Linked DNA regions of Saccharomyces cerevisiae S288C. The gene in region 1 interacts genetically with each later gene. Each region holds a gene or a part of one and is shown on either strand. Other genes may lie near its edges.

Region 1 (2,802 bases):
GACTGCTGCTTTTGCCTTTGGTGGTTCAGAGTTTATTGCCATCACCACTGCAGAACAATCTAATCCAAGAAAGGCCATTCCAGGTGCGGCCAAACAAATGATCTACAGAATCTTATTCCTATTCTTGGCTACCATTATTCTACTGGGTTTCTTGGTGCCATACAATTCCGATCAATTATTGGGTTCTACCGGTGGTGGTACTAAAGCCTCGCCATATGTCATTGCTGTTGCATCCCACGGTGTCCGTGTCGTCCCACACTTCATTAACGCCGTTATTCTACTTTCCGTGCTGTCCATGGCTAACTCCTCCTTCTACTCCAGTGCTCGTTTATTTTTAACTCTATCCGAGCAAGGTTACGCTCCTAAGGTTTTCTCCTACATCGACAGAGCCGGTAGACCATTGATTGCCATGGGTGTTTCTGCATTGTTTGCCGTTATTGCCTTCTGTGCTGCATCTCCCAAGGAAGAACAAGTTTTCACTTGGTTATTGGCCATTTCTGGTTTGTCTCAGCTTTTCACATGGACTGCCATTTGTTTATCCCATCTTAGATTTAGAAGAGCCATGAAAGTCCAAGGGAGATCTCTTGGAGAATTGGGTTTCAAATCTCAAACTGGTGTTTGGGGATCTGCCTACGCTTGCATTATGATGATTTTAATTCTTATTGCCCAATTTTGGGTCGCTATCGCCCCCATTGGTGAAGGTAAGCTGGATGCACAAGCCTTTTTCGAAAACTACTTGGCTATGCCAATCTTGATTGCACTTTATGTCGGCTACAAGGTCTGGCACAAGGATTGGAAACTGTTCATCAGGGCAGACAAGATCGACCTAGATTCTCATAGACAAATCTTTGATGAAGAATTAATCAAGCAAGAAGACGAAGAATATAGGGAACGTTTGAGGAACGGACCTTATTGGAAAAGGGTCGTTGCCTTCTGGTGTTAAAAAAAAAAGCATTTACTTCTTTTATATTTATTCATTTTTGTACTTCTGTTTTGTAGTAATAGCATACGTGTAATGATAGACGATTTTCATTTTAATTCTAGTCCTTTATGAGCGAAGAAAAAAAATAAAAAGCACTAACGATTGCGTGATGGAAGTGGAGAGGAAAATATAAGTGAAATAATATGAAGTGAGAGAAAAATGATTTCCTTTTGTTCTTAATGCAACAGAAGAGGTTTGATTTCATCCGCATATGCAATTTTGCCTTAGTAGGGGTGCAACCGTTTTCGTCGTGCATCAGGAACGATCTTCTTGCCTTTTTTAAAAATCTACGTTAAGAATTTTTAATTTTGTTAAGGTGTAATTAGCATTAGAATGACTGAAGCATTCAGTTTAACCAACTTGTTCTGCGATATTTTTACTTCTGAAATAACAATGTCTGCGAGTGTTACTTGATTATTAATCAATATTTGTCAATGCTCTTCCGAATAATTTTTCAATTTGTCAGCTTTGCTCTGCGCTTTTCCTTACTGCGACAATAAATGGCAAAGGAAAAAAAAATACAGTGTCATTTGCAGATATGACACACTTTAACACCTGAGTGGGTCATCACTACTTTGTGTTTGTCTCCACCCATGTTGTGATCGAAGAGAGATATAAAGGTTGATCATTTTTGGTTTTTTAAAGCTATATACACCATCAAAATCAAGAACACCAGACCTCCAAGCCAAAGAAATGTCCCCAACTGGAAACTACTTAAACGCTATTACAAACCGTCGTACCATCTACAATTTGAAGCCCGAATTACCACAAGGTGTCGGTTTGGATGATGTAAAGAGAACTGTACACGTTATTCTCAAGAATACGCCAACAGCTTTTAACTCACAAGTGAATCGCGCTGTCATTATCGTTGGTGATACACACAAAAGGATATGGGATGCTGTTGCGAGCGCAATGCCAACTGCTGAAGCCAAGAAGAGACCAGAGTCTTGCAGAGATGAGGCTTACGGTTCAGTCATTTTCTTCACTGATGAAGGACCAACTGAAAAACTGCAAAGAGATTTTCCAGCCTTGGCAGCCGCTTTCCCAACATGCGCCGCTCATACGACCGGTGCTGTGCAAATTCAGTCTTGGACTGCCCTCGAACTATTGGGATTGGGGGCTAATTTGCAACACTATAATGACTACGTCAAATCTGCTTTGCCTCAAGATGTTCCTATTGCGTGGACTGTACAATCTCAATTGGTCTTTGGTGTTCCAACTGCCTTGCCAGAAGAAAAGACTTTTATCAATAACGTAATCAACGTTTATCACTGAACAGGAAATTCGCATATGAGGAGATCTTAATTTATCTCATGAAGTAATGATACCTCAGCGATGTGCTCGCTCGTTAGTATGCTTCATAAATTCATTATTATTTTTTTTTGGAAGTGTTTTTCGACAAAAGTTGCATTTTTACGAAGGATATGTAAACTCAAGAAGTACTAAATAAATATAAATACAATTCGAAAATTTGAAAAAAGTAGGAGACAACACTTTCCTTCCTCACGAAGAAGTTAAGCTTGGGTTTGTGACTTACTAACGTCAACGTACAATCGCGTTACAAACAAGATGCTTGCATTCTTACCTTACATTACAAGGACTTAGACGAAGAAAAAGTTCAGAAACACTGCTTACACTATTCACCAGACCCGCTCCTTCTCCTAACATCAATAACGAACAGCACTATTGATGTAAGAACGTCTTAGCTTAGTAATAAAGCTCTACCTTGTTATCGTACAATAATCCAGTATACCGCTTTTACTAATGATTATTCGAGAAAAATCGGACTGTGGCGTTTTACGTGAAAATTACGTAAAGAA
Region 2 (4,356 bases), on another chromosome or scaffold:
GCTACTGATGATGATGAAAAGTATCTATTAATATTGAATATTTTCATGAGCTCATTTGCTATGTTCAATAAAAGAGAAAACGTCAGACTAAGGTCATGGTATTTATTTACAAGATTCTTGAAGTTGACAAGAATCAATTTGAAAAAAATCCTCTTTGCCAACAAAAATTTGGTTAATGAAATAACTAATAAGATAAGTCCTCTACTTCACATAAAAGTAACATCTATCAACGCCCAAGGGACGGATGACAATGATACAATTTTTGATAATCAGTTGTACATATTTGAGGGTATTGGGTTTATAATCACATTGAATAATAGCAGTCAGGAGCTCACTGCTGCCACTGCCAACACCCCCATCGATTACGATATATTGGACCAGATATTAACTCCGCTATTTACACAATTAGAGGGTTGTATTACCCAAGGAGCTTCGCCAGTTGTGATTCTGGAATGTCATCACATTCTTATGGCTATTGGTACTTTAGCGAGAGGTTTGCACATTGGTCTCGTCCCTGAGAATCAGGTCAACAATATGGTTGTCAACAAAAAATTAATCAATGACTCTTTAATCCATAAATTCTCTAATATAGCTGAGGTTATATTAGTAACATTCTCTTTTTTCAATAAGTTCGAAAATATCCGCGATGCATCTAGGTTTACCTTTGCCAGGTTAATTCCAATTTTAAGTAATAAAATTTTACCATTTATCAATAAATTGATTGAATTGATCTTATCGTCCACAGATTTAAAATCATGGGAGATGATTGATTTTCTTGGGTTCTTATCTCAACTGATTCATATGTTTCACACGGACACAGACTGTTATCAGCTGTTTAACCAGTTACTTACTCCGCTTATCAACAAAGTCCATTCTATTATCGAAGAGATTGATGAACAACACGACCAACAATCAAGCAGTAACAAACCTATAGACACTGCAGTCACAGCCACCTCCGTAAATAAGAATATCGTGGTCACCGATTCGTATAGAGATAAAATACTATTGAAAAAGGCTTACTGCACATTTTTACAGTCATTTACTAATAATTCCGTCACTTCGATACTATTGTCAGATATAAACAGAGCAATCCTGCCGGTCATATTAAACGATTTGGTCACCTATACGCCGCAAGAGATCCAGGAAACATCAATGATGAAAGTGTCACTCAATGTATTGTGCAATTTTATCAAATGTTTTGGGAATGGGACCTGCTTGGATAATGACGACATCAATAAAGATCCCAACCTTAAAATAGATGGTCTCAACGAATACTTCATCATGAAATGTGTCCCAATAATCTTTGAAATTCCGTTCAATCCAATATACAAGTTCAATATCAAAGAAGGGAATTTCAAAACAATGGCATATGATTTGGCAAGATTACTGAGGGAGCTATTTATCGTCAGCAGCAACCCCACCACAAATGAGAATGAATGTGTAAAATATTTAACTCAGATCTACCTTCCACAAATCCAATTACCACAGGAATTGACGATTCAGTTGGTTAATATGTTAACCACAATGGGTCAAAAGCAATTCGAAAAATGGTTTGTAGATAATTTCATTTCTGTTTTAAAGCAAGGTCAATAGCTTTCAGGCGCAGAAAACCTGAAAATAAAAAAAAAATGCAAAACGAGAGTAAAAGTTGTAATTATATTTATACTAATATTTAAATTGGTAATATGTAATTAGACTTATCATTCACTTTGGTTTAGCAGCTAGTCATGTAATGGCACTAAAAGTGCTTCTTTATCTATTATTTATACGTGACATACCATTACTTCTATGTATTACGTAAAGAATGACAAACGTTTAGTTTTTTTAATTTCAAAGAAATCGTTGGAAGGTTCAAAAAGGATCAGGTGAGATATTAGAGTATATGAATGTTTCAGTCTCTAAGCTACACAAAGAACTAGCATAGTAGGACTTTAACCCATACAATGGAACTCAACGACCCTTCAATTATATCAAGCAGCCAGTTTTCAGGTGAATTGTCTGACAGCGATACTGCAGCCGCTACTCACAAATCGCAACAAGCCATCTCAAATTTATTCCAAAAATTAGCCAAAAAGGGCAGAGAAGAGAAGCCAATCGGTAGCGTAGAATCTTCAACTGATAGCTCTAACATTTCTGTTGCTACGAGCGGTAACAATAAAGAAAGCAATAAAAAAAAAAATAAGAAAACGGCCATGCTAAATTTCAGCAGTTTGACGGACCCTATAACGAACTACAAACCAATGGATCTGCAATACAAGACATATGCATACTCCATGAATGAACTTTATCATTTGAAACCATCTTTGGCAAGTGCTTCGTACGAAGAAGACCCACTTATTTCGGAACTTGTGAGGAGTTTACCCAAAAGAAAGTTTTGGCGATTGCGCATGGGACCTCCAGATCAAAAGCATGCTAATAACCATCATTTTAATGGGAACAATGGTGGAGGCAGTTGGAAGGCTGGTTACAAGAATGGGAAAAACGATGAGAGAAGAATGAGTAGAACCAAAAACATGCAGGGAGGCAAACGAAGATCTCAACAAGATGATGAAGAAAAAAAGATTGACCAAGAAATGCTGGAGATGGACAAGAATCTTCAATTAGGAGGTGACGTCGGCCATTCAATTGCAGATTTTGAAGATTGGAAGGCAAAGATGAAAGAATTAGAATTGAAAAAACTTTCAAAATCTAAAGGAATCAGTAACTCTACCGCAATTGCTCCCAGGGAAAGCGCCTCTCATGAAACACCCACCGATTTAAGACCGGTCATTCCAAGGGGCCCTAGTTCAATAACAGATTTTTTGAATTTAAAGAGGCAAGATAAGAAGGAAGAATCTTCACAACAAACACCTGGTATTCCTGTTGGACAGCCAAGCCTATCCAAAACCAGTATAGAACAAGTTAACGAATTAGAAACTAATTCAGATTTGGGTAAAAGTTCATCATCTCGGTTTTCATCATTTTTCAATAAATCTGCCACTTCGTTGCCTTCATTAGATAATAATAATCAAGTGCCATCGTCAAACGTGTCTGTAGTAAACAACGATGGCAACAGTACACCTCATCAAAGTGGTTCAAGACTGATGTCGTTTTTCAAAGAATCTAGATCGAGCACTCCAAATGCAGAATCGCAGTTGTTATCAGCCTCAGACAAAGATAATGGAAAGATGCAGACTCTTCCGCAATTCCAGCAGCAACCGCAACAAATGCAACCAATGGCATTTACCCAGCATCCTCCTAATAACAACGCATTTTTCAATGGGCTATTGAATAAAGGTAAAAGTGAAACTAGTACTCCTCCTCCTCCACCCCCAGGACTAATTGCTCATCAGGGTCCACAATTTCCTGTGATGGGTGTACCACCAAATTTTCCACAACGCATGATGCCACCGCCACCAGGTCTCGTTCAATTCCAGAAAGATTCTAAAGATGTAAATAAGAAGGAAGACAGGCAATTAAGGCAAAATAAAAATCCAAACGGAACAAGAAATAGCAAGGGAAAACAAGAGGAAACAGCAACGCCAGATCTGCCTCAACAGCAATACATGCCACCACCCCCACCTCCAGGGTTTTTTCCAATGCATCCTAACTTTCCTAACGGCCCAATGCCACCATTACCACAGGGGTTCCCAATCCCACCAAATGGTATGTTACCGGTAACAGGACAACAGCCACAGCCACCTTATCCAAATATGATGCTACAAGGAAATTTCCCCCCTAATTTCCAGCAAGGTTTTGGTAGTAACTCCCCTATGCCAATTCCATCTATTATTAATGCCAATGGCAAAAATGTTACAAACCAGTTACCACCAGGATTAAACTCTAAAAAGAATATAAAATGAGATGCGTAACGAGCGAGTACTTGACAGGAAACGACAAAAACACAGTGAACATACTATCTAAAAGCATGTTCTTTTCCTTTTCATTTTTCATCTTTATTATCTAGAGTTTGTATATAACATGTATCCTATATTATCTTATCCTATCATCATCACTTAACTTGTTATAATTCTCCCATATACTTATGTTTTCGCCTTTGATATTTACTAGTCGAAGGAACTTTTTTCGCAGTTAGTAACGTCACGCTCGGAACTAAACATTAATGAATGAGATGCATTTTTATACAACACTTTTACAGGCTATATACAACTAAGTGATTTTCAATACATTAAAACTACCAGAATGGACACCAACCGATATAATGTTGGCATAGGTTTTCCACTGATGTGGCTTGTTGGATTAGTTTATCCACTTGTTCTGGAACGTCCAAGTCATTAAACCTTCTTATATCGTTCCCCGTTAATTTGTCAGTAATGCGCTTCAATACCAACATGGCCCTTGCATTTCGAATGGCAT
Region 3 (2,890 bases), on another chromosome or scaffold:
TGATACAATTCATGTGGGACACTAGAGATAAACAACTGATATGGCACAAAAACAAACCTACCGAGCCAGATAATAAACTAGTCGCAATAAGTGATGCTTCGTATGGCAACCAACCGTATTATAAATCACAAATTGGCAACATATATTTACTTAATGGAAAGGTAATTGGAGGAAAGTCCACCAAGGCTTCATTAACATGTACTTCAACTACGGAAGCAGAAATACACGCGATAAGTGAATCTGTCCCATTATTAAATAATCTAAGTTACCTGATACAAGAACTTAACAAGAAACCAATTATTAAAGGCTTACTTACTGATAGTAGATCAACGATCAGTATAATTAAGTCTACAAATGAAGAGAAATTTAGAAACAGATTTTTTGGCACAAAGGCAATGAGACTTAGAGATGAAGTATCAGGTAATAATTTATACGTATACTACATCGAGACCAAGAAGAACATTGCTGATGTGATGACAAAACCTCTTCCGATAAAAACATTTAAACTATTAACTAACAAATGGATTCATTAGATCTATTACATTATGGGTGGTATGTTGGAATAGAAATCAACTATCATCTACTAACTAGTATTTACATTACTAGTATATTATCATATACGGTGTTAGAAGATGACGCAAATGATGAGAAATAGTCATCTAAATTAGTGGAAGCTGAAACGCAAGGATTGATAATGTAATAGGATCAATGAATATAAACATATAAAACGGAATGAGGAATAATCGTAATATTAGTATGTAGAAATATAGATTCCATTTTGAGGATTCCTATATCCTCGAGGAGAACTTCTAGTATATTCTGTATACCTAATATTATAGCCTTTATCAACAATGGAATCCCAACAATTATCTCAACATTCACCCATTTCTCAGTTATACTATCAATGTTGGAATAAAAATCAACTATCATCTACTAACTAGTATTTACGTTACTAGTATATTATCATATACGGTGTTAGAAGATGACGTAAATGATGAGAAATAGTCATCTAAATTAGTGGAAGCTGAAACGCAAGGATTGATAATGTAATAGGATCAATGAATATTAACATATAAAATGATGATAATAATATTTATAGAATTGTGTAGAATTGCAGATTCCCTTTTATGGATTCCTAAATCCTCGAGGAGAACTTCTAGTATATCTACATACCTAATATTATAGCCTTAATCACAATGGAATCCCAACAATTACATCAAAATCCACATGCTCTACAATCAATATATTATCATATACGGTGTTAGATGATGACATAAGTTATGAGAAGCTGCCCATCGAAGTTAGAGGAAGCTAAAGTGCAAGGATTGATAATGTAATAGGATAATCAAACATATAAAACGGAATGAGGAATAATCGTAATATTGGTATATAGAAATTTCGATTTTATTTTGAGGATTCCCATACCGCCGAGGAGAGCTTCGAGTATACTCTGTATACATGATATTATAGCCTTTATCAACAATGGAATCCCAACAATTATCTAAAAATTCACCCACATCTCAATTTTAGAGTTTCATTTCAACAAAACGCATAACATATATACCAACAATGAATACTGTATACGTTTTTTACAATTTCTTTTGGAGAAAACTCCACTGCCTGTGTTGGACTTCATACGAGATTTTTTTCACCGTTGATTTGGAAACACTAGACAAATTGGAGATAAAGGCGCTTCCTTAAACAACAAGCAGACTGCTATCAAGTATAGTATACAGATCACCATTTATTTTTTTTTTCCCCTTGGTAGTATCATATACTTTTGAAAAGTTGTAGTATGACAGCTCATGCAAATGAAAGGATTAGCGATGTATCCCCTAGTGCTAGGGGTTCAAGTTCGGAATCGAAGTATGACAAGCTCTGCCGAGTTCTTTTCTTTATTGCAATTACAAAAAGCTCATTCACTCCGGAGCACATATTGTATAAGCATTCAATATTTACTGATAAGCCAATTTTAGCTGATATAGTTACTTTTATGTATGCGGCGTTTGTTTCCATTGGATGGTTTCTGATATGGGGGGAAAGAGCATACAGAACTCAAGAAATGGGTCAACCTCCAATGTACTCGAATATAAACTATCACCTTTTAAGTTTTAAGAAAAGACACCCCAAGAAATTTACATGTGCGTTATGGTTGGTATTTTTCCTTGCATATACGGTTTTGACAGTTTTAATTTGGTTAGTTCAGTTGATTTTTCGAAAAGGTAATGTTTTTCAAATGTTATTGCAACTTATTATATTAGATATCGCCATTGCATTGGTCAATGTAGCAATTGCATTCACTTTTGAAATATATCTTTCACAGAAAGCCGCTATCGAGATTCGCGACGAAGGTTTAAATAATCTTGACACCGCTTAATGGAATGGTAGTCGAAAGGTAAGAAGTACGCAGCAAATTCAACCAGAATACACACTGTACCTTTTAAAATTTTACTCATAGTAGATAATGGCATAAATCAGTGGTAAAAAAAGAATACGCATGACAAATTTTGAAAACCGTACGTGACATAAAATACCTATAATAAGATGAAGACATCAATTCTCAAGTTCCACTTTTCGCCGGTTGAGTGTATCGGTCATAGTACAAAGGCAGAAATGAATAATAGTAATATTAATCGCAGTTTCCTGTTGTTTAGAGAACTGAAACGCTTTGTGGGCATCAGGTTTAGATTAACTGCTACCCTTCTTCTGTATTTGTCTGGCCATGCTTCTCAAATAAACCGCTGCGGATAACATTTCAAGTGGTTTCTCAAGGGAGAATCATAGTTTAGCTTAACATACAGCAAATCGTCACTATCTTGACTGATGCCCGGTGTATAGAGAATGGGTAGTTAATATCATCTAGATGGGGTTTCTTTGAAAACACCAGTTT
Region 4 (2,642 bases), on another chromosome or scaffold:
TTTATCCTTGAAATGAAGAGTTTTCCAATGAAGAAACGAGACGTATTGACATGCCTACCAATTGAAGTGGAAAACAAAGCGTAGTTTCACATACTCTTTGATAATCAATTGTCTGATACTTTTTTTTTTCCTTTCTCGCAGCCGGGATAGGGGGTTGTGACCCGGCAAAAAATGTTGGTCTAAGTTTTATTGTTGCTATATGCTCCATACATACAATAAATGTCTATAAAATTTTTAGAAGAAAATCAGGCGTGAAAGATGGTGTCTGCATCTTTGTGGTAGAGCATCAAGTAGGCCGTGAATCCCTTCCCCTGCGGATCGGGTTCTCCTTTGGAGTTCACTTCTCCAACCCCGAACTGAAACACCAAATAGGTTTTGAAACCGAAATATTCGTACACAGATCTTGCGTGCTCCGAAATAGCCTCGAGAGCAAGGGCGCAATTGGCCTTGTCTGCTTTGGTTTTATATTTTTCGAGTATTTTTCTGACTGAACCTCTAATTTCGGGATGGCTAGGATCTTTTCCGATGGCATAAAGGTAGTAATAGTCCATTCCCAGAGGCATGACTTCGTGCTTCCTCACAGTCAAGTCGTGAAAAAAAAATCTTATTGAAAGACTCGTCGTCAGATAGTGTAGCAGGCAAGTGGCACCCAGGGCGGCTCCATATTGCGACTGCATCGAAATCATTTGCCTCAGCAATTTCACCATCCAAGTCATGGTAGCACGTCGTGTAGTAATGTATCATTGCATTTATTCTTGCCCTTGAAACTTTTTCAGTGATTGGGATATGGAAGAACTTTTTCATCAAGTAGTCATTTGCGTATGACTTTTCGAATGCCTTAAACAAAGTTTTCGAAGCCTTCTCTACATCGCTTGTCAAGTTTACCGCCAAAGAGGATTCTTCATTGATCGATGATGCTACCATTATCAAAACTATTGATTTGTTTTCAACGTTCTGATTAGTATTTTTGTCACTGCCTTTTTCTATTGTTTCTTTTTTTGCATTTCTTATAGTAACATAAAAAACACAGGAAAAAAAACGTCGTTTATTATATCAGGAGTAAAGGATTTCTGCCCAAAATGTCAGGAAAATTACGATATAAAACGTACTATAAGATAACAAGCGGCTGAATAATTTCTGAGGTCAGAACCATAAGGGTACTGAAATACTATGTGCTAGATTTTTTATTTATTTTCTTTTTCTGATTGATTATCGTTTGGTTAAAATCAGTATGATATTATATATGACTTGCTTTATAATATATCAAACCGACATAAAAAATTATCCTACTCAAAAAAGATCATGGTTGTCCCCGCGTTTCACTTCTGTTATACCATGCAAATTTTTATATCAAATGAGTAATTCTTTCATTTCTTTCGGGACCCTTTACGAAGTAGTTGTTATATCTCCACTGGCAAGGCCACGAACTGACAAAAAAGGCATGATATAAATTGTGAGAAATTGTGAGTTAATTTAATAATTATGCGACGAGATGATAGAAAGGTAAAGACGACTTTTTGAGCCGGATCTGTTTACGTCAGTAAATTCTCGCGCCCCAAGACGTTATGAGGCATAAAATTTATTGCGTTCAGTTTTCTAAAGAGCTCACTATCGGTGATAGAAATCTTTCTTTTTTATTATCTTCTTGTCAGTAGTAATGTATAAGCACCAATATTGAAATGTCCAATTTTTTCGGCTCTTCCCAAGAACTTCAAGAGAGCAGTAGTATGGAAGAAAGTATTGTGAATGATACACAAAACGGTTTAAATACTCCAATATTTCAAAATGAAAGAAATTGAAAACCGATTTTGCCATTAATAATGATTGCTTATTATCCTTTAGTGAAGAAGTTTGTATTGAACTTCAAAGCTGATTGAAAAATCATTATATTTGAACACGTCGTGAGAAGACATGTGTCCAAGTGCATAGTTATTTAAGGCTTCTACGCTGCTTTGTCCTTTTATTACACATTATAATGAGTCTTCAAGATATTTGACTCAGTATGTATAAGAGAATGCTTCCATTGAGATAGTAAGATGATACGTATTGTTACAATACTTGATAATAAGATGCGTTAAAATATTAGTTAAAATGTTAGCTAAAGTTGTACAATTATTCAAGTCGGTGGAACAATAACACTCATTTTATATTTAATTTGTAGGCTGGTTAAATTTAATAACACTTCTTAGGGCTCTATTTTTATGAACAGGACATCATATTATGTAGGCAATAACTTCCGAACTTCGTAATTGATTTAATTGATAATACGACCTATCGTGAATATGCTAAAAGTTCTTTTCGAGGATATAGAGATTCTCGAAGAGAGAGAGATATTCTAAATAACAATATACATATATATATATATATATATATATATATATATTCCTTTCTTGCTTCTTTTTTGTACATTATGTAACTATATTTCTTTCTCATTCCAAATATTCAAATGTACAGGTATTTAATACCGCCTCAATTGATTTAGCGGTATTTTATTTTCTAACAGCTTAGTTATAATACTAAATATACAAAATATATTAGAAGCTCTTTCTCAAGGATATAGGAACCTGCCAAGGAAACCCATATTTCCACATAATGTTACTATTATTATTTCTTCTATTTTTTATGTTGTCATTCATTATCCT

What was found.
Region 2: mutations in FRM2 (region 1) and EAP1 together harm fitness less than expected from each alone (positive genetic interaction), as found in Saccharomyces cerevisiae (one large-scale study listed by BioGRID).
Region 3: mutations in FRM2 (region 1) and YPL257W together harm fitness less than expected from each alone (positive genetic interaction), as found in Saccharomyces cerevisiae (one large-scale study listed by BioGRID).
Region 4: mutations in FRM2 (region 1) and YOR012W together harm fitness more than expected from each alone (negative genetic interaction), as found in Saccharomyces cerevisiae (one large-scale study listed by BioGRID).

Annotation. Positions count from the first base shown.
Region 1 is NC_001135.5:74,159-76,960, reverse strand, and holds FRM2 (type II nitroreductase), read left to right. Parts: upstream 1-1,675; coding exon 1,676-2,257; downstream 2,258-2,802. Other genes in the region: amino acid transporter AGP1, read left to right, coding at 1-943. UniProt on the Saccharomyces cerevisiae protein: Type II nitroreductase, able to reduce 4-nitroquinoline N-oxide (4-NQO) into 4-aminoquinoline-N-oxide (4-AQO) via 4-hydroxyaminoquinoline (4-HAQO), using NADH as reductant. involved in the oxidative stress response.
Region 2 is NC_001143.9:51,761-56,116, forward strand, and holds EAP1 (Eap1p), read left to right. Parts: upstream 1-1,943; coding exon 1,944-3,842; downstream 3,843-4,356. Other genes in the region: Ran GTPase-binding protein LOS1, read left to right, coding at 1-1,593; phosphatidylinositol kinase-related protein kinase TOR2, read right to left, coding at 4,175-4,356. UniProt on the Saccharomyces cerevisiae protein: Can regulate translation through binding to eIF4E. Competes with eIF4G and p20 for binding to eIF4E in vivo and inhibits cap-dependent translation in vitro. Plays a role in cell growth and is implicated in the TOR signaling cascade.
Region 3 is NC_001148.4:61,484-64,373, forward strand, and holds YPL257W (uncharacterized protein), read left to right. Parts: upstream 1-1,795; coding exon 1,796-2,377; downstream 2,378-2,890.
Region 4 is NC_001147.6:354,825-357,466, reverse strand, and holds YOR012W (uncharacterized protein), read right to left. Parts: upstream 925-2,642; coding exon 511-924; downstream 1-510. Other genes in the region: YOR011W-A (uncharacterized protein), read right to left, coding at 1,609-1,815.